7 linked regions of the Rattus norvegicus genome follow. The protein of the gene in region 4 interacts with the protein of the main gene of each other region in a pairwise test. Links are inferred from orthologs where the notes say so. Each region holds a gene or a part of one and is shown on either strand. Other genes may lie near its edges. The genes, in order: Vti1b, Pln, Mall, Ldlrad1, Bnip3, Bnip3l and Adgrg7.

Region 1 (4,092 bases), on a different chromosome or scaffold from region 4:
GCTCTAAAAACACAGCGTCTCAGGGCTGGCTGGCTGACTTACCAGGTAAACTGCCGCAGACTGATGACCTAGGAGCCATGCAGTGGAACAAGAAAGCATAAGATGACCTCCTCTAAGCTACACACACACACACAACAACAACAACAAAACTGAGGTCTCAGGCATCCATACTGGACTTCACGCAAACTAAAATGGAAAACTGTCAATAACCTTATTATAAGGACACATGTCTACAGGTACCACAAAACCAAAACTTAAAACAATAACCATAAGCACTTAACATATTAATCAGATGACAAAATTCTATCACTTCTGAGGCTTTTGAGAAATCTCTTCAGAAGATGCAATGTCAAGATAAGAGATACCAGATGTAGGTGATGAAGACTATAAAAGTCTAATGATTTCCATACATGGTAAGACTGTTACTGCCACAAACCTCCTAGATTAGGACACACTGTGGCAGCGATCCCTCCAGGGCCACGAGAATACAGACTATACCTTGAGGAAATAAGTCTCTCTTTCACTTTGGGTGTTTTAACCAGTGTACACATCAATTTGAAGAGTAATGAATGTGAATAAAAGGGAGAGAAATAAATTATTCTGCTTCGATACCCAGCTATTTTCTTCTAAGAACTCATAGTACCTTTAACAACCAAAAATGGTTTTTACAGTAATTTAACAAATACAATATGTAGTATTTTTTTTTTTTTTGAAACAGAGTCTCACTGTATACTCTAGGCTGGCCTTGAACTCACTGAGATTTCCTGCCTCTGCCTCCCAAGTGCTAGGACTAAAGGCATGCACCACCACCCCAGACATATCTAGCAAATATTTATCAGATACCTAGGATGTGCTGGGTACTGTTCCTGGGAGTTTAGGTCATATGCTAAACAAGCAAGCAAAAATACTATTTCATTTCCAGTTTACTGGCTCTCACTTGGGAGGCAGAGGCAGGAGGATCTCTGAGTTTGAGGCCAGCCTGGTATACACAAGAGAAACCTTGTCTTGGAAAACAAACACAAACCCAAAAAGCAAAAACAAACAAATGAAATGGGCATCCTAAGAATAACTGTATAGAGAGCTAATATTTCTAAATAAAATAGCAAACATATTAATAATAGCTGGTAGCTCTTACTATTGTCAGACAGTAATTTTAAAGAGCTTTACATATCTCATTTACTCAAAAACCCCATTCAGTTAGATGCTATGTTTTACTTTATAGTAGAAACTAGTTTGGTTAAAATAACTTGCAAGATCACATAACTAATAAAAGGTATATATAACTTCTGGCTCTAGAATCTCTCTCTTTTTAAATAGAGTCTCAAGATGTAAAATCTAGCTGGTCTGGAAATCTCTGTGTTGCTGTGTACACCAGGCTGGCCTTGATCTCACAGAGATTCTCCTATTTGTACCTCCCAAGTGCTGAGATTAAAAGTGTTCACTACTGTTAATCTCTTAATTTTTACTGTATTTACTAGATTAATAAATTCTTCATAATGTTTTTAATGGCAGAAAAATATTTTGTCATGCTTGGTACAGAACACACTGTTATCTCTAATCTACAGGTAGACATTCTCATCTACAGCTCAAACGAGTTTGCGCCTCTTATTTAAGTTCATTCACTCAACTGATCACGTGAGAAAACACGGACCCTCTTCAATCTTTCTTCCTACTCATATCCACCAATCTCATAAATCTCTGCCTCGGAACCACCTGTTAGATTTAATGCTCACTCTCCAGATTCCCATGCTTACCTAGTCAACTGTCACGGAAGCTCCTAACACAGTCTCTTATAGCCATTCTCACATCCTCTATCCAGCTATCCGCCGCCTTGCTTCTAAAATGAAATCCACATTACTCAGCTGCTTATGTTCCTTACTGATTTACCCTATTACGTCAAAAATCTTAATGTGAGACATTCAGGTTCCTCTTTAAGTGGCTGTTTTACTCCCCTCACCTCCCACCACTGTCTTACCTATAAGCTTTACAACTATTTTTAAATTTTCATTGCCTACCAACCAAATTCCTACATCCCCAACCCCAAACTAAGTTTCTTTTTTTTTTATATATAAAAAAGTCGTCTTAACGAAACACAGGACCGTAGATTTAAGAACGCCCTATGCTGCTGGGAGAGGAGGAGAACTAAGAATTTGGGGGCTAGGACGTGGGAGGCTCGCTAGGAGACGACATCCTAATGTCGATCCCATTGCACGCCCCCAGTCACAAGAGGCTGCAGATCCTGGGCGCCCGGGGCTGGACAGCAGCAGGGGGCGTGCCCGAGTTGGAAGCCGGGAGCCCGGGATTGCGTTTGGGATCCCGCACCCTGCGGAGTTCTACCGGTCTGGTCCCGCCCCCGCCTCACCGGTCCCCGCGGTTCCCAGCAGCCGCTCCGGCACCCCTTGTAGATCTTCAAGGAGGCCGCGGAAGATCTCGTGCAGCTTCTCGAAATGCTCGGAGGAGGCGGCGGAAGTGGCCATAGTGCAGGTTGCTCGTGAGCTGCGGCCACTGAGACTCCGGGCGCTGGGCCCACTCCCACCTCAGGAATCAGCTACCCGGCCCCAAAGCCATCACCGCTGCCGCACCTCGGCCTCCCGGAATCAGGCGTTTCCGGGGTCCTCCGAGCCGGACGCCCTCCCCCCTGTTGTCACTGTGCGAGCGCCAAAGCCTGACAGAAAGCCAGGCGAGGACGACACCCGGCTACTATAGGGGCGCGGCCTGGCGCCAAGGCGAGCTGCTGTCTCCAACCTGGAGACAGGCAGTGGGCACAGGGGAGGTACCAAAGCGAAGAGCCCAAGGGAGCCCGCGGGACGGGCGCCTCGGACGCCTCATTCGGGCCCGCCGGTCCTGCAGTGCATGCTGGGGGTTGTAGTTAAGTGAGGAAGGGCGGCTGTGCAGGGAGGGCCTGGAGTGCCAGCCCTGTTGCGCAGCGACTGGATAGCACAAGTGCCTAGCTGTCATTGCACTTCATTCTGCCACCTGACTTCAGTTCAGTCTCAGCCCTAGATAGATAGAAGAGCAGAGGCTTGCCCTGCTCTTCTCGGATGGTAAAGCTCTATAACTGGGGAGATTAAGTGGCCAGGGTCACATGCTTTCAGAACAGGAAAATGAGCACTGTGCTCCCAGAATACACAAAGCTTTTAGGGGCTGAGCCAGTCCAGTCCATTAGGCTGCGCCGGGTTCTCATTCACAACAGGTTAAGAATAGCCATTTTGATAAGTTAAATATTGATCAAAATATCTTTGCCTTTGCCCTTGAGTAATGTATGATTTGGTGTGGAAAACAGACCCGTCTTACCATGTCTCTCTCTCTCTCTCTTTTTTTTTTTGGTTCTTTTTTTTTTCCGGAGCTGGGGACGGAACTCAGGGCCTTGCGCTTCCTAGGTAAGCGCTCTACCACTGAGCTAAATCCCCAGCCCCGTCTTAGCATGTCTTATCTGCCCTTACATAAAACATATTAACAATTATGAAGTCTTCTCTGTTCTTTCATAGGTATAAATTCCTATGTATACTGTTGGCAGGGTTTACACAAAGAGCCTACTCTCAAAAGTTTGCGTGGGAGCTCAGTATTTATACATGGAAATACACACACACACACACACACACACACACACACACACACACACATATGGCTGAGGATGTAGCTGAGGGTACACTTATCTAACATAAGCAAATCCTGTAATCCATCTTCCAAGGTATATGGTAAAGTGGGTTACTGGTGATTTTTGTCTTTGAGGCCCTAGGTTTACAAGCTTGAATCCATTGACCATTAAATTCAATGAAAAAAATTGTAAAATGCATTGTGCAAAGATAAAGTCTGATGTTGTTAGCAGTGGTGCAAACTCTTATATTTTTCTCATAAAATTCAAAGATAGGCCAAGAGTGGTGTTGCTTGATTTTAATCCCAGCACTTGGAAGGCAGAGAGAGGCAGATGGATCACTGAGTTCAAGGCCAGCCTGGTCTACAAAGCACTTTCAGGACAGCCAGGGCCACACAGAGAAACCCTACCTCAAAAGCAAAATATAAAATTAACAGGGCCAAGTGCTCTGCCTGTGGAGCCCAGAAGAGGGCGTCGGATCTTCTGGAGCTGGAGTT
Region 2 (3,500 bases), on a different chromosome or scaffold from region 4:
GTCTATATGGATTATCATGTACTTTCAAGATATTAAAAACCTGGTATAGCATATAACCAGATCTTCTAATGTGACTGATTGCTTTCCTGCTTTGCCAGAAGATTCAAAATAACCAGAGGCTAAGCAGTACTGTTGTATGTACGTCCACCCTCTCATGTTTGTCTTAGGAAATCTTGATTTCTACTTTATTTGGGGAAAGTGCCCCCCACTCTGCCCTTTACAACACAAAACTCTTTATAATGACAACATTTTATAGTAATAGCATTTAATTGTATAGCAATTGCACCAAAATCATAATCCCATCTGAATATAGGCCATTCTTATTGCATTTTATAGATAAACATTTAACTACTGAAATGTAAAAGGCATTAAACATTAAATGTTTGATGAGAAGAACTTATGAGTTGACAGTTGGTGTGGTAGTGAGAATGTAAAGGGCCAGGCGCTTTTCACCTTCCTTTTCCTCTCAGCATGGCAACTACGAACTTATGCACTTGTACATAATTCCGCAGACCATTCACCAGTGCTTCTCAACCTGTGCGTTGCAACCCCTCACGCAAACCTTTGTCTACACAAATATTCGCAATTCATAGTGGAGGCAAAATTACAGTTATGGAATAGCAACAAAAATAATTTTATTGTTGGGTTTCACCACAACATGAGGAACTATATGAAAGGGTCATAGCATCACAAAGGGAACATTGATTTAGAGATTATGTCATCCATGTTTTATAGTTTCTGTGATGGGCACCCTCACCCCCAGCCTTTTCTGAAGAGACGCCTATTAACGTGGGACTCCTTTGTGGGCTACTCTTTGGATAATTTCTGAAACCAGACATCTTCCTTTCTATCAGGGATTCAAACAGTTCGAATCAGCATGCCTTCAGCTGCTCTGTTAGGGACCAAGGTGAATACTGATGCGCCGTATCTTCGTAGTAATCATTATGGAAAATATATCTAATTATAACTCTCCTAATAGCTGCTGTGTTGGTAGAATGCCTTGAGCTGGACTTAACACTGTGGGAGTGCACAGGAGAGGTGTGAACTGTGGGAGTGCACAGGAGAGGTGTGAACTGTTTTGTATTGGATAACTTAAGTTAACTAAATTTTGGTGAATGTTTTCCAATACAGTTTTTAGCTCCTAATCTTTTAGTATTTATTGAGAGATATTAGGAATTTAGAAAGGGAAATTGAAACCGTGATTAGTAAGGATTGTAAAATAGAATCTCTAGTTTTTAAGTTAGGAGAGCAAGCCTCTCCTCTCTGGGGGATGCAGGAAGAGAGCTGTACCCCAGCACAGCTGTCTGGTTTGTTGTTATCATTTATTATCTGGAGAAGCCCGGCACAACCCAGGAGATCTGTGCCAAGCCAACCTTCGGGTGAGGTTCTGATGTTTTAGTGATTATCGCAACCACACAGTAAGATGTTCTTGCTTGCTGGTCAAACCCTAGAGAGAGCACATTTGTGGTTAATGTAAATGTGCTTGAATTCCACAATTAGTGGAAAAATTAGTGAAGATTTTTATATGAGAATATGCTTTTACATTTCCCTATTTGACTCTCATAAGCTTAAAAATAATTAGTGTTTAGAAAAAGGGCACAACCTTTTTTCAAGGTATGTGTTCTGACAGTAATGACCATGACTTCTGAATCATTGTCATCGTCATGGTCATCGTCATCGTCGTCTATATGAGGACCCAGTGAGCTATTTTGAATAAGAACACTTCATTTAAATTATTATTTTCTACTTTGTGCAGACCTGAAGAATATTTAGTTCCTATAAAAAAAAAGTGGTGGCAACGCAGTTTAAATTTCATTTATTCCCCAAACTGAAGCTATAAGTTGAACTTTCTAGTGCTGGATATAGAAAGTGAACTTTTTTTGTAGTGCTGTTTCAAAATTAAAACTCATACTACAATGTCAGAAGTATTTAGGAAAGACATTTATGAGCCACACTGAGGAAACGGGCAGCTACATTGTGCACACTTAGTCGTGGTAAAGTTTACAAGATCCAGCCGATGATCACACTGGCTGCCATCAGTCTCACTCTTAATCGTGACCTTCACGACGATGTCCAGCAGGAAGGCGGCGGCACTGCCTCCCTCGTGGTGGAGGGCCAGGTTGTAAGCTGCGTTGGCATGGTGCAGGTCTGCGGTGGCGACAGCTTGTCACAGAAGCATCACAATGATGCAGATCAGCAGCAGACATATCAAGATGAGACAGAAATTGATAAAGAGGTTCTGGAGGTTCTGACGCGCTTGCTGGGGCATTTCAATAGTCGAGGCTCTCCTGATAGCCGAGCGAGTAAGGTATTGGACTTTTTCCATGATGCCAGGAAGACAAAAGTAGGAAGACAAGTCTTTTTTAAGTAGTCAAGAGAAAGATAAAAAGTTGACAGCAGGCAGCCAAACGCGAGCTGTCTCCTTTTAGGAGGCCTGGAATGTAAAAATAGTAAAAGGATTAGGTTCATACTAAACCCATTCTCTGGATAGATATGCAGTTTTGTACCGGTTCATGTTCCTCAGTGCTGTATTTTATCACTGTCTACAGCCCCAGCCTCTCTGCTCCTCTCATATGTTAGCACTCGTCCTGGGTGAGCGGAGGGGCTGGAGGTTTGGCACCTATTACTTGATTCATGGAATGCTTCTTTGGGACGGTTTCCTTGTTTGTTTGTTTGTTTTTTTTTAAAACTGTTTCTCTGTAAACACAATTGGTATGAACATTTATTATTATAAATGTTTCGGAACTAATCATAACAAGATGCATATAGTAACTTATATCTTGGATCTTAGTTTTAGTTTGAAATAAAATGGTTAAGTGAAAAGTTAAATATGAAGTAAACAGGTTCTAGCGGCTTGCCATTTTCCTTTATGGTTTATGCTTTTGTGGAATCACACAGTGCATTTAATCGTATACATATCCTCCTGACTCCTCCCAGGTACAGCCTCCTGGTTAGTGCTACTCTAAACAACAAGGTGGTCAAGTGCTGAAGACCGCCAAGCTCGGGAGGAGGCACAGTAAGGGCTATGATTCTGAACTATCCCAGACAGTTCCAGTTTTCAGCTAATCCTGATGGCCAGGGGTGGGGTTGTGTCCCCCCCTCCCCAAGCTCTTAAACCACTGCTGACCAAATAAAGCTTATTAACAGAAAATTAGTACAGGTTTAAAATAAACCAGTGAGCTGTCTAGAGGCAGCGGCTGCTTTGACTTCGAGATTATTATTGTTTATCACTAACATTTTATTTATTTATTTGTTTGGACACAGGGTGTTGCTAGGTAATCCTGACTAGCCTAAAACTTTCTACACAGAACAGACTGGCCTCAAACTGGAGGCCTCCTTTCTGCCTTTGCTGACTGAGTGAAGGAGTTCCCAGGGCTGGTACTTTTTTTTTTTTTTTTTTTTTTTTTTAAGAATACTGTTTACAATCAGTTTTAAAACAAGAATATAAAATAAAGTGCAGTTATTTACTGTCTAGAGACAACAAGGTCTGATTTATTGAG
Region 3 (4,180 bases), on a different chromosome or scaffold from region 4:
GCTTTCTAATGTGTTCTATATAGACTTTTGTCTCACACCAGAAGACTTAGGGATCAGGGGTGCCTGGAGGCTTGGTGCTTTCACACTGCCCCAGTAGACAGCAGAGCGAGAATACATCAGATCACTAGAGCCAAAAGAAGGGCTTTGGACAAACTCATCCCGCACACATAACATCTTCCCAGCTTCTTCTGCCCATGACATCAAAATCTTTTCCCCCACCTTCTCATTTCCTTCCCCATCCTCCAAACAGGCACACATCATTCTGGAGTCCTTCTAGGCATGCTCAGAGCAGGTACAAGCAGCATGTGCAGAATTATGTACTCAACACAAGCACACACTCAGATACAGACATACACACTCACACTCACATACTCACACATACATGCACACACATACACTCATACATTGCACACACACTCAGATACAGACACGCACTCATACACATACACACATAAATACATGCACACACACATATACACACACTCACGCATACATGCACACATATACACACACTCATACACACTCAAATACAGACATGCACTCACACACATACACACATATTCATGCACACACTCACACATACAGACACTCACACATATGCACACATATACACATTCACACACACTCAGACACACACTCACACAGACTCACACACCCCTTCACATACACACACATACACATGCACACATGCACACATATACACACTCACATATGTGCACTCACATACACTCAGATTCAGACACACTCACAGACTCACACACCCCTTCACACACACACATACACACAGCACACTCACATATGTGCACTCACACACACTCAGATTCAGACACACACTCACACACACAGATTGAAATATCCCTTCACATGCACACACACGTACACACAGAGATCGTGCATGTGCTCCATCTGTGAACACATTTCTGTGTTTTCTAAGTTTTCATCAATGAATGAAGATGGATTGCAAATTAAAGCGACAGGGACAGTGAGCGAGCGTAGAAGTCTAACTACGACCAGGGTCCGCAATAGCCGACCGACCGTGCTTTCTCTAGAAGACGGAGACGAAGGCGGAGGAACCTCCCGGGATTAAGGGGAAGGACAGCCAAGCACAATCAGGAGCTTTGACCTGGATCCTGGGCTGGGGGGAGGATATTAGTGGGGAAATGAGCAAGTAGGACAACAATGGTCAATGGCGGAGTGCTCGTGTTAACTTCCTGGCTTGGAGAGACCTGGGGGTTCAGAGTGAGGAACAGACTTCCTGTGCGGCCACTATGGCTTTAGGAGAAATCTAAAACTATTTAAAAGTAAGTCAAGAAAATCAAATCAATGACAATGACCTCATCCCCTCGAAGTCCCAGGACACCAGGAAAGTACTTTTCCAGGAATCCAACTGCAGGAGGAGAGGTGGGGACACCTGTCAGCGCCTCTAGTGACAGTTCTCTACCTGACTGCTTTCCTGCCTCCGGCATCCAGTGTTCTTCCAGTGGCAACTCCCAGTGACAGGACTGGACCCTCACTCATCTGGCTGGGACACCATGCTGCATTCTAACTGCTCAGAAAATGCTCCCAAGCCTCTCTCTGTCCACAGAGACCCCTGGCAGGTAGCCACTCCGCTGACCATGATTTTCGTGACTGACAAGCATTCTCTCAATAGAATTCAGCAGAGCCATCCTGCCATCCATGTGGCTGTTCCAAAGTGAGGCCCACACCCAGGGCCTGGCACACAGAGCTCAGGACGTGATCAGCCTGGCAGGATGCCCACATTTGTGGGGGGTTGGCGCTGGAAGAAACCTGCCTCTTAGGTGGAGTTTCTATCAAGGCCACCTACCTGTGGAACCCATAAGCCTGACTTCCCTTTCTTGATCGACAAGAATGGCTGTTGGTTAAGCAATTTGCCTAAAGGTCACTCAAGGGGACCTAACCTTCCACGGAAGACCAGGAGAAGGGAAAGGGTTGGTCACACCCATTTTATGTAAGCAGTCCTACTCCAAGTCTCCCTCCCAATCCAGAGGCAGCATGGTCAAATTCAGGGCTAAGAAGAAAATTTCACCCACAAACTAGATATTACGGGAGGCTTGGCGGGGAGTGGGGGAGGTGGATGAGAGCAGGAACCAGCCGAGGGACCTGTTTTGTTTTCTACTGAATGCACTGCTCAGTGCAGGCATGGACTAGCGCCCAGTTCTGCTGTGTGGTGTCCCAGAGTCGGGCAGCAACAAGTTTTCCAGAGTAACCTGGGCGGTTCAGATTGTTTTATGGATGATGCTGTCAGGAGCTCCCTCTGGCAGGGAGTACACATAAATCAAAGTTCAAAGTCAGCTGATGTGATTTGAGAAAATGCTGGGAGACCTTCTTTCAGAAGGCCCTTAGAGAGTCCCCTAGTTCTTTGAACTTTAGGAAACAGCAAGGGGGAAAGAAACCAGGTAATAGAATTTTCTTAGGGGTCTGGGTAGTCTAGAAGGTGGCTGGACTCCTCCAGCAAGCGAGTGGCCTGGGGATGGCTCTTCAAGCTTTGGGAAAGAGGAAAATTCGCTCTATTGGAACCTAGTCTGGGACACGGGAAAAGCAGGAGCCTGTAGCTAGCTGCCTTTCCCCATCCCAGTTACAGAGAGGTTCCCGGTGGTTCCGCCCCTCCCTCCCCGCAGGTGGGGGCAGCCACACTCACCAGCTCCGGTAGGAAGAAGGCATAGGGGATGGTGAGGAACAAGGCGGCGACCCCCGAGGGCACTTCAGGCGGGGCGTAGCTGGTGGCCGGCGGTGTGTCCCGGGAGGCCATGCTGTCACCTATGCTGGCGTCCTTACTCCGCGGCACTCGCCCGCGCCCGCAGCTGTGCAAGAATCACCTCCCGCCCGCCAGACACACCCATCGGCCAGAGGGACGTCGTCGCCTGGGAGGGGAAAAGAAAGGTTCCAGTGGATCAGGTCCTTCTGTGTACTGTGGCTAGGCAAGAGAGGGGACAGACCAGCCTTGCAGAGGCTCTTTCTATCTAGACCTCCCTGCTAAGGAACTTTTGAATGCTGGAGCAAATGACTCCAGATGATATGAGTGACAGTGTGTGAATGGAACAGCTTTGTATGCCCCTGATGATCTCTGTGCTCAGAGTGTAAGCAAGGGCTCTTTTTGCTAAGATAAAGACCATTTTATTGAGGATCTACTGTATGGTTAGCCACCTACACACACATCTGGAGCTCAGACAGACCACCACGTGTCTATGTTGTACCTTTCCAAGAAAGGAGACTAGAAAGAGGTGCAGTTAGGATCACAGAGCGGTCACAGCAGCATCCGCCTTGTCCTCAAATTCTAATGGAAGGATTGGAGCAGCCTGGTTTCCACCTCCCCTCCTCAGGGACTCTGAATTCCTCTTGGTTCCTCCTCTTGATGTCTTCTTAGTCAGTTAGGACACAGGATTGGAGCCAGGCAGTTCCTTCCTGAGTAGAGCCTGGGGCTGGCTGCACACACACACACACACACACACACACACACACACACACACACACACACACACACACGTCAGGTCTGGAGACTGGGTCACTTTCTTCTTTACCAACCCACTAACCTTCATTTTTTTTCCACCACCCTGAGGAAAAAGTCTGGCGCCCCAGAGTCGTCTTCCTTCCCTCTTTGGCTCCAGAAGGCTAGTTGGAAAGCCTCCTCAGGAGGAGAGGAGGCATGGAAGAGTTGCCCCAAGGACTGGGGGATGTCCTGCACAAGAGCCCTGTGTCTTGTTTCTTAGCAACAGCAGGGAACTCCTGGGCAAGCTTGGAGAAGTAGCCTGTTAGCCCCACCTGGTCTGGAGCGGCCAGCAGAGTTTGGATACACGAAGCAAAGCTTAAAGCCAAGGCATTGCAGGGAAAAGCAAAGGTCTCCTCAGCAAGCTTCGAGCCAGCCTCAATCTTTTCCAAGTTCTAGAGCTTATAGTTCATATGCTTCAGTCCCCACGCTGCTGGCATCCGAAGCCATCCACCTTTTGTGAATGCCATACATAAGCATTATGCATTCTTTGGGGCTCTGACCCCCTTTGACGTGACCGTAATCTACATGGGGCATCAGGAACAGCAGAGTAAGAAGTACACACAGGTTCCAAGGATTCGACTCCGGTCATCAGGCTTGAGGGACAGTCAATGCCTCTACCTGACAAGCCATCTCACTGGCCTGGAAAGCATGAATTCTGAGTAGACTGTGAGG
Region 4 (3,500 bases):
TCCCCATAACCACATTAACTCCCCTTGCAGCTCTGTGGACTATCCCTAGGTACCACCTCCATGTCCTCATGCCCATGGTACCTCAGCCCAGACCTTCTGCTACAAGGGTAGGGAACACTGCACCTCAAATCCGTGAGAGCTGGACTCTAAAGAACCCTTTAACCCAAATCCAAGAGTTGCTGTGTGCATGGCAATCCCAGCACTTGGAAGGTGGGTGCAGATGATCAGGGGTTCGAGGTCATTCATTTCAAGTTTCAGGCCAGCCTCCTTAAATGAGACCCTGCCTCAACAACAAAAAGTGTCACCAGGTCCATACTCTAGCTCCTATCCTATGAGCTACTCCAGAAAGCCAAGAGAGACTGCCCAGCCTCTGCTTAAGTGTTTCTAGGATGGCGAGCTCACTACCTGAGGCTGGCCTGGGTTTGTGTGAATCTGGGTCACCCTGTCCACTCCCTGACGTAGATGCTACTTTGGAATTCTGGGGCCCTTGTGTAAGAAATCTGGTTTTACCTGCTATGTTCTGATGAGCAGAGGCTTCTTGTGGGGGACTTGACCCTAGATTGAAGGTAGCAGGCTAGCAGAGGGGGGACTTACGCATGAGTATGCACACAATGCTGAGTGTGGGGACATACAAGGGGTGCTCTCAGGGACCCTTGTAATCCCACAAATGTATAGAGTAAGAACACTCCACTCTTTGGAACCAACCTCCTTCCTGGAAGACCTCCTATGCCCTTTCCAGAATGAATGGGGAGACCCTGTAGTATGACAGGTGATTCAGCTGCAGGTGGCCAAGATACTGAGGTCAGAGGTGAATTTTGTCCTGCCCCATTTGTCTCTCTATAGGAGATTTGCCCAAGAGCCTCCCCAGCTTCCTCCTGACCACCTGTGGAAACCCAGACTCCTGGATCTACTCAGACCAGAAATGTGATGGCACCAACAACTGTGGGGACTGCTCAGATGAGCTGAGCCCAGGTGGGGGCTGGGCACAGGTGGGCAGTGGCCAAGGGCATGGGCTGAGCGGGAATCCCCATGGTCCCCTACATGTCCCTGAATCCTGGGAAGAACATTTCCACTGTGGAGTAAACGACGTCCTTAGACATCCTCACACTCTTCCCCAGCACTGGGGAGATGCTCGGTGAGGCACTGCTGCACAGCATGAGAGGCCAAACCCCTCCCCGTGGTAAAGAGAGAGAACCGACCACGGGTTCCTAACTTCCACATGCTGTGCGTGCACCACGTCAGGGAGGTAGGGTCTAAAGATGCAGCTCAGCTGGTAGTGTGTCTGCCTAGTGTGCACAAGGCCTGGGTTGGTTCTCAGCACTGCAGAAATGAGGTATGGTGGTACATTTCTATAACCCCAGCACTCTGAGAGTAGAGGCAGAGGAGTCAAAACTTCAAGGTCATCTTTGGCTCCATAGTTGAAGGCCAGCCTGGGACTGTCTCAAAAGACGAAAGGTAAAGGACCATCAAGGAAGACACTGTAGACCTTATGCCTCCACACAAGTGCCCATATACGTGTCCATACCTTCACATGTGTACATGTCTGTATGGCATGCATGCACGCACATTCTATGCCTGGTGTTAAATTAACAAACATGTTCTGGGCACTGCTGAGGTGACCTGTACCAGATTCTGGAAGGGAGAGTCAGGAGTCAGACCCATCCCCAGGACTACACCATGCTGGTGCCAAGAGGAAACACCCGGACATTGTAGAATCTACCAGACACCTTAGAAAAGACATCACAGAACAGGACATAGAGAACAGAGGCCAACAGTCGGGGCTGGTGTGTAAAGAGGAATGGGGGATCCACGGATACAGGACAGAGGGTAGAAAAGGGAGGCACCCCCAGAGCATCCAAGGGATCGCTGTATCAGGAGTGAGAGCTGAGCAGAAAGGTAAACTGGGTGGTGCAGCGTCTCCGCATCCATTGATCCCCGAGCGCTGTCTTGTTTCCTTTACCCAACAGTTGAGCAGATGGGTGCTGAGGCTTAGCCGGGCGAGCAGGTCACACAGCCTGTGTATGAGTTGTGCAGCTGCAATTCTCTCTGCTGCTGCTGCAGGGGAGCCCACACAGTCACCCCACACTAGGGGTACAGGAGCTATGCGTGTTGCAGATCTTGCCTGGAGAGCCCAGGATCGACGGCTGTTTATCCCGCTGGCTCTTGTCTCCACAGTGACTGCGTGCCCACCCTGTGGCCCTGGGTGGTGGTATTGCACTCCAACTGTGTTCAGGTACTGCAGCTGTGTCCCGAGGGTCCTGTGCCGGGACGGAGTGCAGCACTGCTCTGACTGGTCCGATGAGTACTCCTGTCCTGGACCCTGAGTGAGCCTCATGGTCTGGGTCAGCATGGAAGCTGGCACCCGGAACCTTAGACCGGAGCACCGAAGCCTACACCACAAGGGCAGGAAGAAACCTTTGTCATCCACCAGTGGCACCTAGCCCCCATGGTCTCTGAACAGGAATTCAAGTGTCTCAGCCTCCACCTGAGCACTTCCAATGACACGGAGCTCACCACCATGTTAGGCAGATTCTAACAAAGATGAGGCGGCCTCCTCCATCACTTTAGGCCTGTCAATGAGACCACAGGAGAAATGCTCCTTGACTCCAGGGCAGACTTGAAGTCCCAATCTTGTCATTCCTGGAAGAGACAAATGTGTGGCTTAAATACCAAGTGAGTTTAGCCCTGTGGGTAGAAAACAAAGCACACACATTTACCACCATTCGGTGCCTAAGGCAGGAACTCAAGGCCCCTGGAGCTTCTTGCCCAACTCACCAGCAGCCCCGACTGATCACATGAGGTTGCACATGGCACTTGGGACCTGGAATCTTTCTAGTTTCCCAGTATCCTAGAGGCTTGTGGCTGTGGAGTAGAAGACCCAGAGACAGTGCAGCTTAGAAGAACCCCTCTATGCCTTTAGTCTTAGCCTCTGCCTTGCTTCACCCCACAATTGCCTGCAGGTTTATATTTTGGTCCTGCAGCCAGGACCTATATACCTTGCATATCTTCTAGCTTTACAACACCCACCCAGGCAAGGATGGGTGTGCTCATTAGACAGATGAGGAAACAGAGGCCTAGGGGATGACTTGCCCAGGGTATACTCTGGAACTGGGACTCAAAGTCAGTCTGCAGAACTCTGACCTCAGGGTCTTCCCCACTATTAATGGGGAAGAGAGATGGGCTAGAGAGATGGCTCAGCAGTTAAGAGCCATGGCTGCTCTTCCAGAGGTCCTGAGTTCAATACCCAGCAACCACATGGTGGCTCACAACCATCTGTAATAGGATCTGATGCCCTCTTTGGGTATGTCTGAAGACAGCTACAGTGTGCTTATATAAATAAAAAAATAAATATTTAAAAAAAAGAATAGAGTCATACCTTGGTGGGGGTTGGGGTGTGTGGGGAGGGTGATGAATATTAAAGAGGTAGCTTAAGGGACCAAAAGTATCTTGTCCTTATCCTTAAAGACAGACTTGGGATCTGGCTATGGAGGCCCCTGTTA
Region 5 (3,500 bases), on a different chromosome or scaffold from region 4:
ACTGCCCTGGTTGATTTTGGAAAATTGGTAGTGTAGGAGAATCTCTACATTTGGCATCAGGACTGGGTACCGGGAAGAAGACAACTTGATCTCAAACTGTTAGGCACTAGAAAAGATATGGGTAGCATTAAGCTCCATCACATAAATTGGGACAGGCTCAGATCTGAATACAAGATTGGCCTAGACAAAGGGAACTGGCCATAATGATTGCAGCTGGTCTTGAACTCACAGCAACATTCTTGTCTTAGTGACTCGGAACTGCAGGGATTCTACGTGTGAGCCACTATCCCTGGCTTCTGGGTGTCATCAGACAGAAGGGAGGAGGTCCAGCAAAAGACATTAGGCTGGAACTGGAGTGAGTATAGGATTTCCAGATCCCAGAAGGCACTGGGGCCTGTGTACAGCAGCAGAGGGGCTCTGGGCTCTGCCCTTCTGAGTTGGTGATGTGCTTCATGTGGGCTAGGCCTGCTTCTCTATGAGGCAATCTGAGAGGCTAATGAGGGAAATCATCCTTATTTCAAAGTTTGTTGTATAATCATGTTAGTTTACTGAGAGGCTGTTGGTGGCATGAACTATAAATCCAAACTTATTTCTGGTTAGCTCAAAAACATTTTCTATAGGCAAATGTGAGTCAAAATAGACAGAATCTTGGGCCCAAAATGAGGCCCATACACATTTCTTACGCTGCCAAAGAAAGCACCAGGGTCCAGAGAGATGGGAGGGGCTTGCTGCCAAGCCTGAAGTCAAACCCAAATGATGGGAAGAGAGAACCCAGGTATTGCAAGTTGTCCTGACTTCGTATGCATACTGTGTGTGCACAGGTGCCACACAAACAATGGCTAAGTAGAAAGCAAGGAAGCAGCAGCATGGGGTGGGCAGCAGAGGCAGTCTTCAGTAAAGGATGCCCCTGTTCCAGGACATAGCATTCATCAAATTGGATCCAGGAGAGTGAAAGACTAGTATGAGGGTTGACACACTGTGTAGTAGCACAAACTCAAGTTGGAATTACATGCAGTCTGCATGGCTCTTTGTAGCACAAACTGACATAAAGCTTGGCAGTCCTCCTGCCTCAGCCTCCTAAATAACTGGGATTATGGGTGTGTGCTACCATGTCTTGCTGAACACACATTTATACACACAAACATTTGGCAGTAATGGGGATTGAACCTAGACTACAGCCTTACGATTTTATAAGGCAAGCACACTTCCATTGAGCTCCCCCCAGCCCTCGCTTTAACTATTTTATTTATTTAATGTATGTGAGTACATTGTAGCTGTCTTGAGATACACCAGAATCTGTTACAGATAGTTGAGCCACCATGTGGTTGCTGGGATTTGAACTCAGGACCTCTGAAAGAACAGTCAGTGCTCTTAACCGCTGAGCCATCTCTCCAGCCCAGCATGAGCCCTTAAATATTGTAATAGATGCATTCAGCAGATCAAACTGAAAGCAAGCCACAGATGTAACAGTACAAAGAGTTCATTTATTTTTGTGGTGTTGGAGAACCAAAGTCTACCCTGAGACTTCATTTTTAATGTGTGTCAATGCTGTGCTTCTATAGTGTAAATATTTGTGTGAGTACTTGAAAGGTAGATCCCTTCAGAGAGTGAGATATAACCAGAAATGAACTATTCTGTTTTCAAAACTTGCTAATCTGATTTCTGGTATAAATGCAGAGCAGTAATCAGACTTGTGGATTTTACAGAGTCCTAGGGCCCCGTGATCCTGAATGTAGAAACAGCTTGAGTTTAAGTCTTTAGCTAGGCACATTAGCCCATGACTGTACGCCTAGCGCCTAGAAGGCTGAGGCCTCTAGTTTTATGCCAGCTTAAATAAGATCCTCATCTTGGCCTGTGGTAAATCCACAGGTATGTAGAATACCTACATGGAATAAAAGAATGGCAAGAGATAACAGTGCAGTGTTTCAGCCTCAGGGTCCTTGCCTACTGGACCTAAAAGAGGCCAGCAGACCAGAAATGCAGATATCTGAAGTGGCATTAAAGTAGGGCCTAGAGTGATCTTTGGTATTTCCTGGGAATGTGAGTGGGTAGGTCTGTCTATCTGTCTATATCTTTGTTTATTCATTGATTGATTTGGACAAGTATTCATTGTGTGGTCCTAGCTAGCCTTGAACTCAGAGTACTGGGATTAGTCGTCAAGCCCCATGAGGGGGCAGATTTCTAACTGCCCATTTTGTCCTCTTCAGGCTCCTGGGTAGAACTGCACTTCAGCAATGGGAATGGGAGCAGCGTTCCAGCTTCCGTCTCTATTTATAATGGTGACATGGAAAAAATACTGCTGGATGCGCAGCATGAATCTGGACGAAGCAGCTCCAAGAGCTCTCACTGTGACAGGTAGGTGTTCTGGGTATCCCTTACAGTGTTGATGTCCTAGTAGATGGATAATCACAACCGCATGTTTTTGTGGGTGGGTTCCAGGTCTGAGGCCACATTTGGGAGTAACTCCTGAGGTAGTCATTAAGCAAGGAACTCTGGAGTCTGCTGGGAGGAAGTGATTTGGAGCTCAGTCTGGAGGGACTCTATTAAACCTAGAGATAGATAAAATTGTTCACTGTGAGCACCAAGTCTGAGCAGTTTTGTTCATGCCCCCAGCTGGCTTCTGTTCCTAGGCAGCGTCACTAGGGAGTGAATCCAAGGTGTGTGGCTGAAGTCAGTGATCAAAGGTCAGATGCTTCCGAGGGCTAAGTCACAGATCATGCGGGAGGGTGGGGCTTCTCTATGGAACTGTCTAGTGGGCTCCTGTGTGCTCAGCTCAAAAGACTAAGGAATTGTTTGGCACTGGTCTGGTGAGGGGCAAAAGGGAAGAGACATACTTTGGAGGCTCCTCTGCCACCCCTTAATGAGGTAAGACCCCTGCTTGGAACTTATGCATCTTATGACACAATTGACACGCTGCTCCGTTTTGTCTGTTTCTTAATCAAGCCCACCTCGCTCCCAGACACCACAAGATACCAACAGAGCTGAAATAGACACCCACAGCTTTGGTGAGAAAAACAGCACTCTGGTAAGCCATAGATAGGAAGTGGCTATAAGGTTCAGTGCATCATCAGTCTGGTGACTCCTGCATTTGCAGCATATGAGAGTCTTTACTCTTAGTTTTTGAGGAAGGGTGTCTCATTCAACATGGAGCTCACCAGTTGGATAGTTCAATTGGCTGGTGAGGTCCAGTGATCCTTCTATCCCTGCTTTCCAAGCCTGGGACTACAGACATGATCCATGGTGTCCCCTGGCATTTTATAAGAGTGTTGGATCTGCATTTTATTGTTTATTGTTATGTTTATGTTTATGTGTGTGTTTGAGAGAATGCCATATGTATGGAGGCATTTTAGAGCCCATGTTTTGGTTTTTATTTAGATAGGGAATCCCTATTCACCCCGTCTAGCCGGGAACTTGCTATATATTACCAGGCTGGTCTTGAACTTACAGAAAGCCACCTGCTTCTGCCCCGAGTGCTATGATTAAAGGTGTGCACCACCTTC
Region 6 (3,500 bases), on a different chromosome or scaffold from region 4:
CAAATAACCAACCAACCTGTCTTCCAGCTGCCTTGGAGAGAGAACTGGGTCATAAGGCATACAGGAAGGTCAGGTATGATTTAACTGCTTTCTCTTTTTCTCAGACAAAAATTAACCATGTACTATAGATGAAACACATAACAGCTAAGACAAACATGCACAATCTCTTCCTCTAGTCCTACCTAGCCTGCTGCTTTCTAGACATCCCTCAATCTTCTTCTTGTGTATGTGCATCTTCAACATGGTGAATAATCAGCCAGCTGCAAATGAACCAGCACTGAGAAGCCTGTAAGGCTAACATTGTGCCAGGGACTACACTAACAAGTTCTCCCTATTTCTGGGGATGGTTATTACTACGTATGGTTATGTAGTCAGGCAGGCCTTCATCTTGTAGAAATATGTCTGCTCAGCCTCTCGAATGATGAGACTATAGGTATGACTTAACTATATGAGCTTAGAATTGTTAGTATTATTTAATACCTAGTTTCTCAGGAAGGGAAAGGAAAAAAAAAAGCTCAAACTGAAAATTAATCACTTGTTTTCCTTTCCTACAGCTTTCTGTATTTTTAGTCCTCAGCATAAAAATAATACATGGACTCAGGGTTTCAGAGGCAAAGAAGCACACAGCGATGTAAGAATTGAGTGACACGTCCTCTGAGAACACACTGCTTACTGAGAGTCACAGAGCCACAGACACGGCTGTAACCTCCGTCAACTTGCAGACCTGTAGCTGAGCATTTATTACGTGTCTCATGTGTGCCAACCTTTTACTATGAAGGGTGAAAGAAGGCCACATGGCTCTCCCTGCTTCTGCTGCCTAGAAAGGGACAGAGATTTGTTACTGTGAGTCATAATATGGGCCCAAAAAACAGGAAAATGGGATAAACTCAGATGAACTCTGAGATTACATTAATGACACTAAATTCAACTTTCATCTTAAAATTGCATTTAGTTTGTGTGTGTAGATACATGTGTGGCTGTGTATGTGGAAGCCAGAGGACAACTTGAGGAAGTCAGTTCTCGCCTTCTACCATGTGGGACTGAAGATGAAACACAAGTCAACCAAGCTTGACATCGAGTGCTTAACCACCTTGCTGACCTGTTACTCAATTTCAAACTGATAAACATCTAAAATTAATTTAATCTGAGAATAAAAATGACAATGGGGGTGGGCAACTCAGGTGCCTATCCAGCAGCTATTCAGTTATTAATTTAATTTTCTTGAGACCAGACCTCACCACACAGCCCTGACTGGCCTGGAACTCAAGATGTAGTAGATCAAGCTGACCTCGAACTCACTGCCTCTAACTCCAAGTACTGAGATTAGCGGTGTGCACAATCATGCCTGGCCTAGCTGTCTAGTTTAAACATGTATGCTACAATAAGTCTGGAGGCCTATTCTACTAACGAATATTTAGGCCAATAAGCTTGCCCCTTACAGAGTTAACTTGACAGCCACTCAACTGCCAACTTAGCACCCAGAGCTTTACTTACCTGTCACAGTGAGAACTGCCTCTTGAGCTGCTCTGTCCCGACTCATGCTGCGCATCCAGAAGGATCTTCTCCATGTCTCCATTGTGGATGGAAGACGAGGAAGGAACGTGCTCCAGGCCCCCATTCTTCCCATTTCCATTACCGTTGCCATTGCTGCTGTTCATGGGTAGCTCCACCCAGGAACCTGTTGGACGGCTCAGATAATAAGTCAGAACCACGGCAGGGCCAAAATCCCTCCTGTGCCACAGATGTCCATATGCTGGGTTCAGATAAGAATTCTGACTCGCCTCAAACAGAAGCCAAAGTCTTCTGAAGAAAATAAATATGAAGGAAGTCAAGAAGTCCATGCTGTTATGCCCCACAGGGACTCATGCACCAAAGCACTCAGAAGGTAGAAATCTGAAACTACGACCATGTGTTCTCCGTCCGCTTTTCTTTTTTGTTAAAGCTTAATTTGTATCCAAATTGGTTTTGGTGAAAACTCAGGCCATTCTTCAAAACTTACATGCCTCTTTCTTTACTAGACAGGATGTTACCTTTAACATTTCACTTACACACAAAGGCACTTGCCATGTCCGCTACAGAATTCCTCAGCTCTTTAGGAATGTGCACTAAATTAAGTCAACGTATGACTTAGTGACATCGCCCGGTTCATCTTAACAATACAACAACTGTCTACTAACACAAACTGAAAAGGCTCATGGAGTGGAAACCTGAATGTAATCACAAAGCCCCCAAATAGCTCCCAAAGCCGGAGCATGCAGTAATGCAGCTGGTCCTTAATGAAGCTAGGTAAGATTAAAACTTGGCGGGTGGGGAGCACTGGCTCCATTCCACAGATGTGCATCTCTCTCCTTTGCTACTCGCTTCAAGTCTTTCTCTTCTACACCGAACATACCTTGTCAAGTTGTTCCTTCCTTTTTTTCTCCCAGGACCTCTACTTTCTAGAGTTTTCATTAAGTCCTGAGGGTACGGAGGAGGGAGAAGCCACTGTAGATGGGTTACAAGCAGAAAAAAAATTGGGACAAATAGTTGAAGGGGGTGGGACCAAAGGAAAATGGGATGGGCCTTTATAATCTGAACGTTTTGAAAGTTCTTATTGGCCCAGTAAGTTAAATGATTAAGGTTCTTAAAATTTTAATAGGAATTGCAACAGTAGCCAATTAGTCAACTTGACAAAAAAGACATGCTCTACATTCCCTCAGTACAATCCTTTGCTTTAGGAAATATGACCAGCAGCCAGGTACAATGTTCACACGTGTACTCTGGAGTCTGAGGCAGTATGATGATCAAGAGTGAGGCCAAGGCTGGCCGAGGCTACAGAATAAAGCTCTAACTCAAAAGGAAATGAAAAAACAAATAAAATTTCCCCCTAAACCAAACTAACAACCTCCAAAATGTAACCTAGCAGGTCAGCAGGGCCAACTCTCTCTAAATCCTTAGCAGATCAGTCAGAATCATCAAAGACTACCTCAAACCCTAAAATACACCCAAATGAGTCAATGACACCAGGCCTAGAGGGAGGCAACAGCTCTTCTGGCTGGAATGGCACTCCAGCCTTTAACCCCTCCTATCCTCACTCAGTGTCATCAGAATACAGAGCTGTGACAGAGGGACCTACTTCCCAGAGCTGCCAGAACCAACCACATAACATAAACTGCAGGCCAACACTTACTGACATACCAAGGAGTTTGTATCTGTTACTAAAGGGTTAGCTGTCTCTCCATCAAAGGCAGCGCCTCCTCCCTCTGCCCCTTGCCAGCAGTCTTGAAGTCACCAATTAATTCCAAACAACACAGGCAAACAGCACCTGGCCTCATTCTACACCTACATGAGGATGGGCATGGACAGAACCCGGAAGGATGAGCACGTAACGCCAGTATCGTTAAGAGAGATCTTTAGCTGGCTACAAACGTGCAGAGCACATCTAAATTTAGATCTCTGTAAAATATTCTAGAGGGAGGGACAGAGAGAATAAACAATTTCCCCCCTACTCCCACTGCTTC
Region 7 (4,247 bases), on a different chromosome or scaffold from region 4:
ACATTTATAGTTAGCCATGAGTGTGGGATCATGTCCATAACCCCACACGTGGAATGCTGGTGCAGAAGGTGTCTTGCTCATGATACAATGAGTGTGATGTCATCTGGGATACAAATTGTGAGTCCGAGGACAATCCAAACTATAAAATAAGCTCTCAAAAAACAAACAAAAAAAGGCTTTAACAGATACATCAGTTTCTCTGAGATATGCATGAACTCTGACTCTAAGAAAAATGTTAATTTAAGGATAACTTATAACTAAGTAAGGAACTAAAGAGAAAATACTCAATTAATAACAATAATTAATAATTATTAAATAATAATAATAATTATTATTATTAATGACATTAGTAGAATGAAGGGAGGTGGAAGGAAAAGAGATGGAATTCCTAGAAGAAGTTAAAGGAAAAAAAAAGGGAAGTGGACTGGAACTGAATTAAACAAATACAAACAACTAAACAAAAGCAAACACTCCAAATGCAATGTACAAGGAGCACACACAGCAGCAGCCTAAGTCTTCATTCTTCCTATTTGTTAATGATTGTGACAATCCTCGAATTTTCTGTTGCCTTTCCCCCAATTCTATCCCCACAAGGGAGGGATATCCCTTATATAAAGAGACAACTGACAAACTAACACCAAGGGCAAAGCTAGTCTTTCTGAGGGGCTGGCATGTTACTGCCCTGAGAAGCAGAACGTTTACTACCCTTTACTCCCTTTACTTCCTTTAAAGGCCCTCAACAACTCGGAGGTGTGCCCAGGCTTAAGCAGTTTCCCCTACGCCTTTGACTAACTTGCACTTACAGGCCTCTGTTTAGTATTGTGCCTCATGTTGCTTTTGTACTTTGTCCTCTCAACGGTTCGATTTAATGGTGCCATTTCTAGGTCACAAGTTGCCCTTTGAAAACACAGGCCATTGGGAATGCGACAAGAAGGAAGACATTTCCCAAACATAAATCCTGTAAGCGAGATCTTACACATTTAATCCATGTAACAGCGAGAGAGACTCTTTATGGTTTTCCTTAAACCTGAATGAAAGTATTTTACAAACGCTAACTTTTTAGTTTTCTTCTTTTGTCCTGTTTAATTTCTTACTCAAGTTCTCTAAATGCTGCCAACACAGTATCCTCTGGATTCTATTCTGTTTATGTTATGTAGGGATGGCTGCATTCCACACTACCTCTTCAGCACCAGCCAGTATCAAACATTCGTCCTCAGCATGGGATTCTGCAGCCTGGCACCATTGCATCTTCCTTGAGGAAAGACTGATTCTCCTTACTGGCATTAGTTACCTCTAGTCACTCAGTTTTACCTGTTCTAAACCTCAGCTCTGAATCTATAGCAGTGGTTCTCAACATTTTTAACACTGCAACCCTTTAATTCAGTTCCTCATGCAGTGTTGATCTCCAAACCATAAATTATTTCATTGCTATTTCATAGCTGTAATGCTGTTATTGTTGGGAATTGTAATATTTTTAGATGGTCTTAGGTGACCCCTGTGAAGGTACCCAAAAGGGTCATAACACACAGGTTGAGAACCGGCGCTTTATAGTGGACCTCCAGAGGCCAAGGAATGCAGTGTTAGAATGATTAAAAATGTATTTTTGAGTTCTCAAGGGCTTTATTTTAACACTGTCATTTTACAGGTTATGCTTCTGTCCCTATTTTCCCCATGAGGTCTGGAACACAGCAGGAAACGTTTCAAGCACATACTGAACCAGCAGGAAAGTAACCTTTAAACTTAATTTAATTTTTTCAACTTTAACTCATTTTCTACACCTGCGAAATGGGAAACTTGTACATCAACCTAAGTTCTTTTCATGCATGACTCTAGTGCTAACATCACTAAGCTTCCTTCTTGAGATGAATTTCTATTCTGTACATAGTTTTTTGGGAGTCTGAGTTCACAGCTATTTACCTTTATAGGATTTAGCTCAGTAAACCCAAATATACATCGTTATACTTTCTATTGTTATTCATTCTATCAACTCAGGAATTAAAATAGCACATAGAAGCCAATTCCAACACCCTGCTTATTCACATACACACAGACACACACACAGACACACAGACACACACACAGACACACAGACACACACACAGACACACAGACACACAGACACACACACATATACACAGAGAGAGAGAGACAGAGAGACAGACTCGCACACACACACACACACACACAGACACACACACACAGAGACAAGAAGAGAGAGAGAGAGAGAGAGAGAGAGAGAGAGTCTCATTTTTTTGTTTTTTTTTTTAATAAAGCTGTGCACTGGCCATCAACCAACTGCCCTCTTACACTTCTTAAGTGGTATTGTGGAAGGCAGCCATTGTGTGGACAGGGCACTTCCCTGGCACTGAAATATCAGGTAGCAGAGTCAGAGGTTCAGTGCCACCACCACCCCAACACCCACTCTGTGTCTCAGTAGATTATAGCAGGGTGACATTACCTCTGTTGATCCTTACGACCATCCTCCAGATGCCCAGTCCCAAAACAATGCCCGTCAGCAAACCACACACAATAGTCACCAGGACCCGGACATCGAAGGATCGGCAGGAACGCATGGTGAAGCCAAAACACTGCACCACTATGTGCAAAACAGCTGGCTTCTCCTTAAGTCAAGAAATGTAACCAGAGATGGTTATAAAACATGAAAAGAATTCTTCCCTTCAGTGGTCTGTCTGGCAGGTGTTCTCATGTTTTAAGAGTTTTGAAGTTAATTCACAATAATGTAGTTGGAGTCACAGAATAAAAGGTACGCAGTATGCTCATTCTTCACTGAGGAGATCAACAGGTGGGGATTCTCAGAAAGGAAACTAACTTAAGGCAATAAAAAGGGGGCGGGATTAGCCTTGAGGGTCAAAGGGTGACTATCTGGACAAGATATACAGTCCAGGAAAGAGGCAAGTTACCAGAACCCAAAGAGGAAGCCAGGAAGGCAATGAATCCCTCTGGTTATCTACAGATCAGTCTGCTGTACTTTGGCTTTAAGAGCAAGTGCTTCAGGAGAGTCAAACACCCTCTTGGATAAGGTGTCATTGTTGGCCTTGATATGATAAACTGCAATAGCCACATAGGATTCCACTCTTGAATTTCCTTAAGGGGCCTACGTTCTAACAGCTGCAACTGATGAATGAGTATATGGACTTGGGGAGGATTATAAAAGCACTAAAACAGAATTAAACTCATCTATTATGAATTAAATGATGTCTCCACATTCACGAGTTGAAGTCTTAACCCAAAGCACCCACGATGCAACCTTGATTGAAGATAAGTTTGAAATATAATTGAGTTTAAATGAAGTTAATAGTGTGGGCCTTATTCCAACATGGTTGCTGTCTTTATAAGAGAACATTTGGGCCCCAATGTGCACAGAGGGACAATGTCTGAGGAATCAAAGGGATAATACAACCAATTGCAAAGAAAGGCTACAGAGAAAGGCTTGGAGTACTACCTTCCTTCAAAGTCCTAGGAACCGACTACCATGACATCTTGCTTTAAAACAGTAATTCTCAACTTGTGGGTCTCAACTTTCACAGGGGTCACATATCAGATAGCCTGCATATCAGCTATGTACAGTACAACTCATAACAATTGTGAAATTACAGTTATGAAGTAGCAACAAAAATAATTTTATGGTTGGGGGTCACCACAACATGAGGGCAATACATTCCTGTTATTTAAGCCACATAGCTTGTAGTACTTTGTCACAGCAATCCTAGGAAAGAAATCCTCCCTTAAAACTTTCACAAACTGCTATCTCTCCTATGCAGCCGTGACTCTGGGGATCCTGCTTTACTCTTCCCTCCTCCTCCCTAGTCTCAAATGAAGGTGCTAATGAGTACTCACGTGACTGAAGTTCTGGTTCTGGTGGATGAGTCAGTGGGTGGTTCCTCTGTTCATTTAGACCCAGGATGATAAAGTGCCTTCTTTGTCTTGAGACTGTCACAGGCAGGAATGAGCCCTCAAGCACTTACAATGTTCCAGGGTGAGAAACCAGGGTGTAACTCCTGATAAAACAGACCACAATGTTAAAGATAACAAAAATGTGTTGCAACAGAATACTCTTCTGGGAGTATTAAACATAGATTTATAAAATAAATTTTACATCTAAACTGATCGTTTGTTTGCCCCTCAAAATTATGTATTGTTCCCCAAGTTTTAATAATACTTCGTAAAGTACAACTCTGGGGGGAATATTAACATAAAGTCCCAATTTTTCCTCATTCTAGAGCTTC

What was found.
Region 1: the proteins of Ldlrad1 (region 4) and Vti1b interact in binary tests that used the Homo sapiens proteins (3 or more experiments, as listed by UniProt). The two-hybrid records come from large-scale screens. The link is inferred for Rattus norvegicus from reciprocal best matches to the Homo sapiens genes LDLRAD1 and VTI1B.
Region 2: the proteins of Ldlrad1 (region 4) and Pln interact in binary tests that used the Homo sapiens proteins (3 or more experiments, as listed by UniProt). The link is inferred for Rattus norvegicus from reciprocal best matches to the Homo sapiens genes LDLRAD1 and PLN.
Region 3: the proteins of Ldlrad1 (region 4) and Mall interact in binary tests that used the Homo sapiens proteins (3 or more experiments, as listed by UniProt). The two-hybrid records come from large-scale screens. The link is inferred for Rattus norvegicus from reciprocal best matches to the Homo sapiens genes LDLRAD1 and MALL.
Region 5: the proteins of Ldlrad1 (region 4) and Bnip3 interact in binary tests that used the Homo sapiens proteins (3 or more experiments, as listed by UniProt). The two-hybrid records come from large-scale screens. The link is inferred for Rattus norvegicus from reciprocal best matches to the Homo sapiens genes LDLRAD1 and BNIP3.
Region 6: the proteins of Ldlrad1 (region 4) and Bnip3l interact in binary tests that used the Homo sapiens proteins (3 or more experiments, as listed by UniProt). The two-hybrid records come from large-scale screens. The link is inferred for Rattus norvegicus from reciprocal best matches to the Homo sapiens genes LDLRAD1 and BNIP3L.
Region 7: the proteins of Ldlrad1 (region 4) and Adgrg7 interact in binary tests that used the Homo sapiens proteins (3 or more experiments, as listed by UniProt). The two-hybrid records come from large-scale screens. The link is inferred for Rattus norvegicus from reciprocal best matches to the Homo sapiens genes LDLRAD1 and ADGRG7.

What each region holds. Positions count from the first base shown.
Region 1 is NC_086024.1:103,706,688-103,710,779, forward strand, and holds the start of Vti1b (vesicle transport through interaction with t-SNAREs homolog 1B), read right to left. Parts: upstream 2,801-4,092; 5' UTR 2,478-2,800; coding exon 2,363-2,477; intron 1,838-2,362; exon of another isoform or gene 1,755-1,837; intron 1-1,754. UniProt on the Homo sapiens protein: V-SNARE that mediates vesicle transport pathways through interactions with t-SNAREs on the target membrane. These interactions are proposed to mediate aspects of the specificity of vesicle trafficking and to promote fusion of the lipid bilayers.
Region 2 is NC_086038.1:33,178,994-33,182,493, reverse strand, and holds the end of Pln (cardiac phospholamban), read right to left. Parts: intron 2,435-3,500; 5' UTR 2,327-2,434; coding exon 2,168-2,326; 3' UTR 253-2,167; downstream 1-252. UniProt on the Homo sapiens protein: Reversibly inhibits the activity of ATP2A2/SERCA2 in cardiac sarcoplasmic reticulum by decreasing the apparent affinity of the ATPase for Ca(2+).
Region 3 is NC_086021.1:135,401,267-135,405,446, forward strand, and holds the start of Mall (MAL-like protein), read right to left. Parts: upstream 2,801-4,180; 5' UTR 2,771-2,800; coding exon 2,660-2,770; intron 1-2,659.
Region 4 is NC_086023.1:127,226,392-127,229,891, forward strand, and holds the end of Ldlrad1 (low-density lipoprotein receptor class A domain-containing protein 1), read left to right. Parts: intron 1-843; coding exon 844-972; coding exon of another isoform or gene 973-989; intron 990-2,175; coding exon 2,176-2,324; 3' UTR 2,325-3,362; downstream 3,363-3,500.
Region 5 is NC_086019.1:203,144,963-203,148,462, reverse strand, and holds part of Bnip3 (BCL2/adenovirus E1B 19 kDa protein-interacting protein 3), read left to right. Parts: intron 1-2,207; coding exon 2,208-2,355; intron 2,356-2,943; coding exon 2,944-3,025; intron 3,026-3,500. UniProt on the Homo sapiens protein: Apoptosis-inducing protein that can overcome BCL2 suppression. May play a role in repartitioning calcium between the two major intracellular calcium stores in association with BCL2.
Region 6 is NC_086033.1:45,363,214-45,366,713, forward strand, and holds part of Bnip3l (BCL2/adenovirus E1B 19 kDa protein-interacting protein 3-like), read right to left. Parts: exon of another isoform or gene 2,452-3,500; coding exon of another isoform or gene 2,393-2,451; intron 1,804-2,392; coding exon of another isoform or gene 1,679-1,803; coding exon 1,495-1,678; intron 1-1,494.
Region 7 is NC_086029.1:57,281,457-57,285,703, reverse strand, and holds the start of Adgrg7 (adhesion G-protein coupled receptor G7), read right to left. Parts: upstream 2,801-4,247; 5' UTR 2,574-2,800; coding exon 2,459-2,573; intron 1-2,458. UniProt on the Homo sapiens protein: Orphan receptor.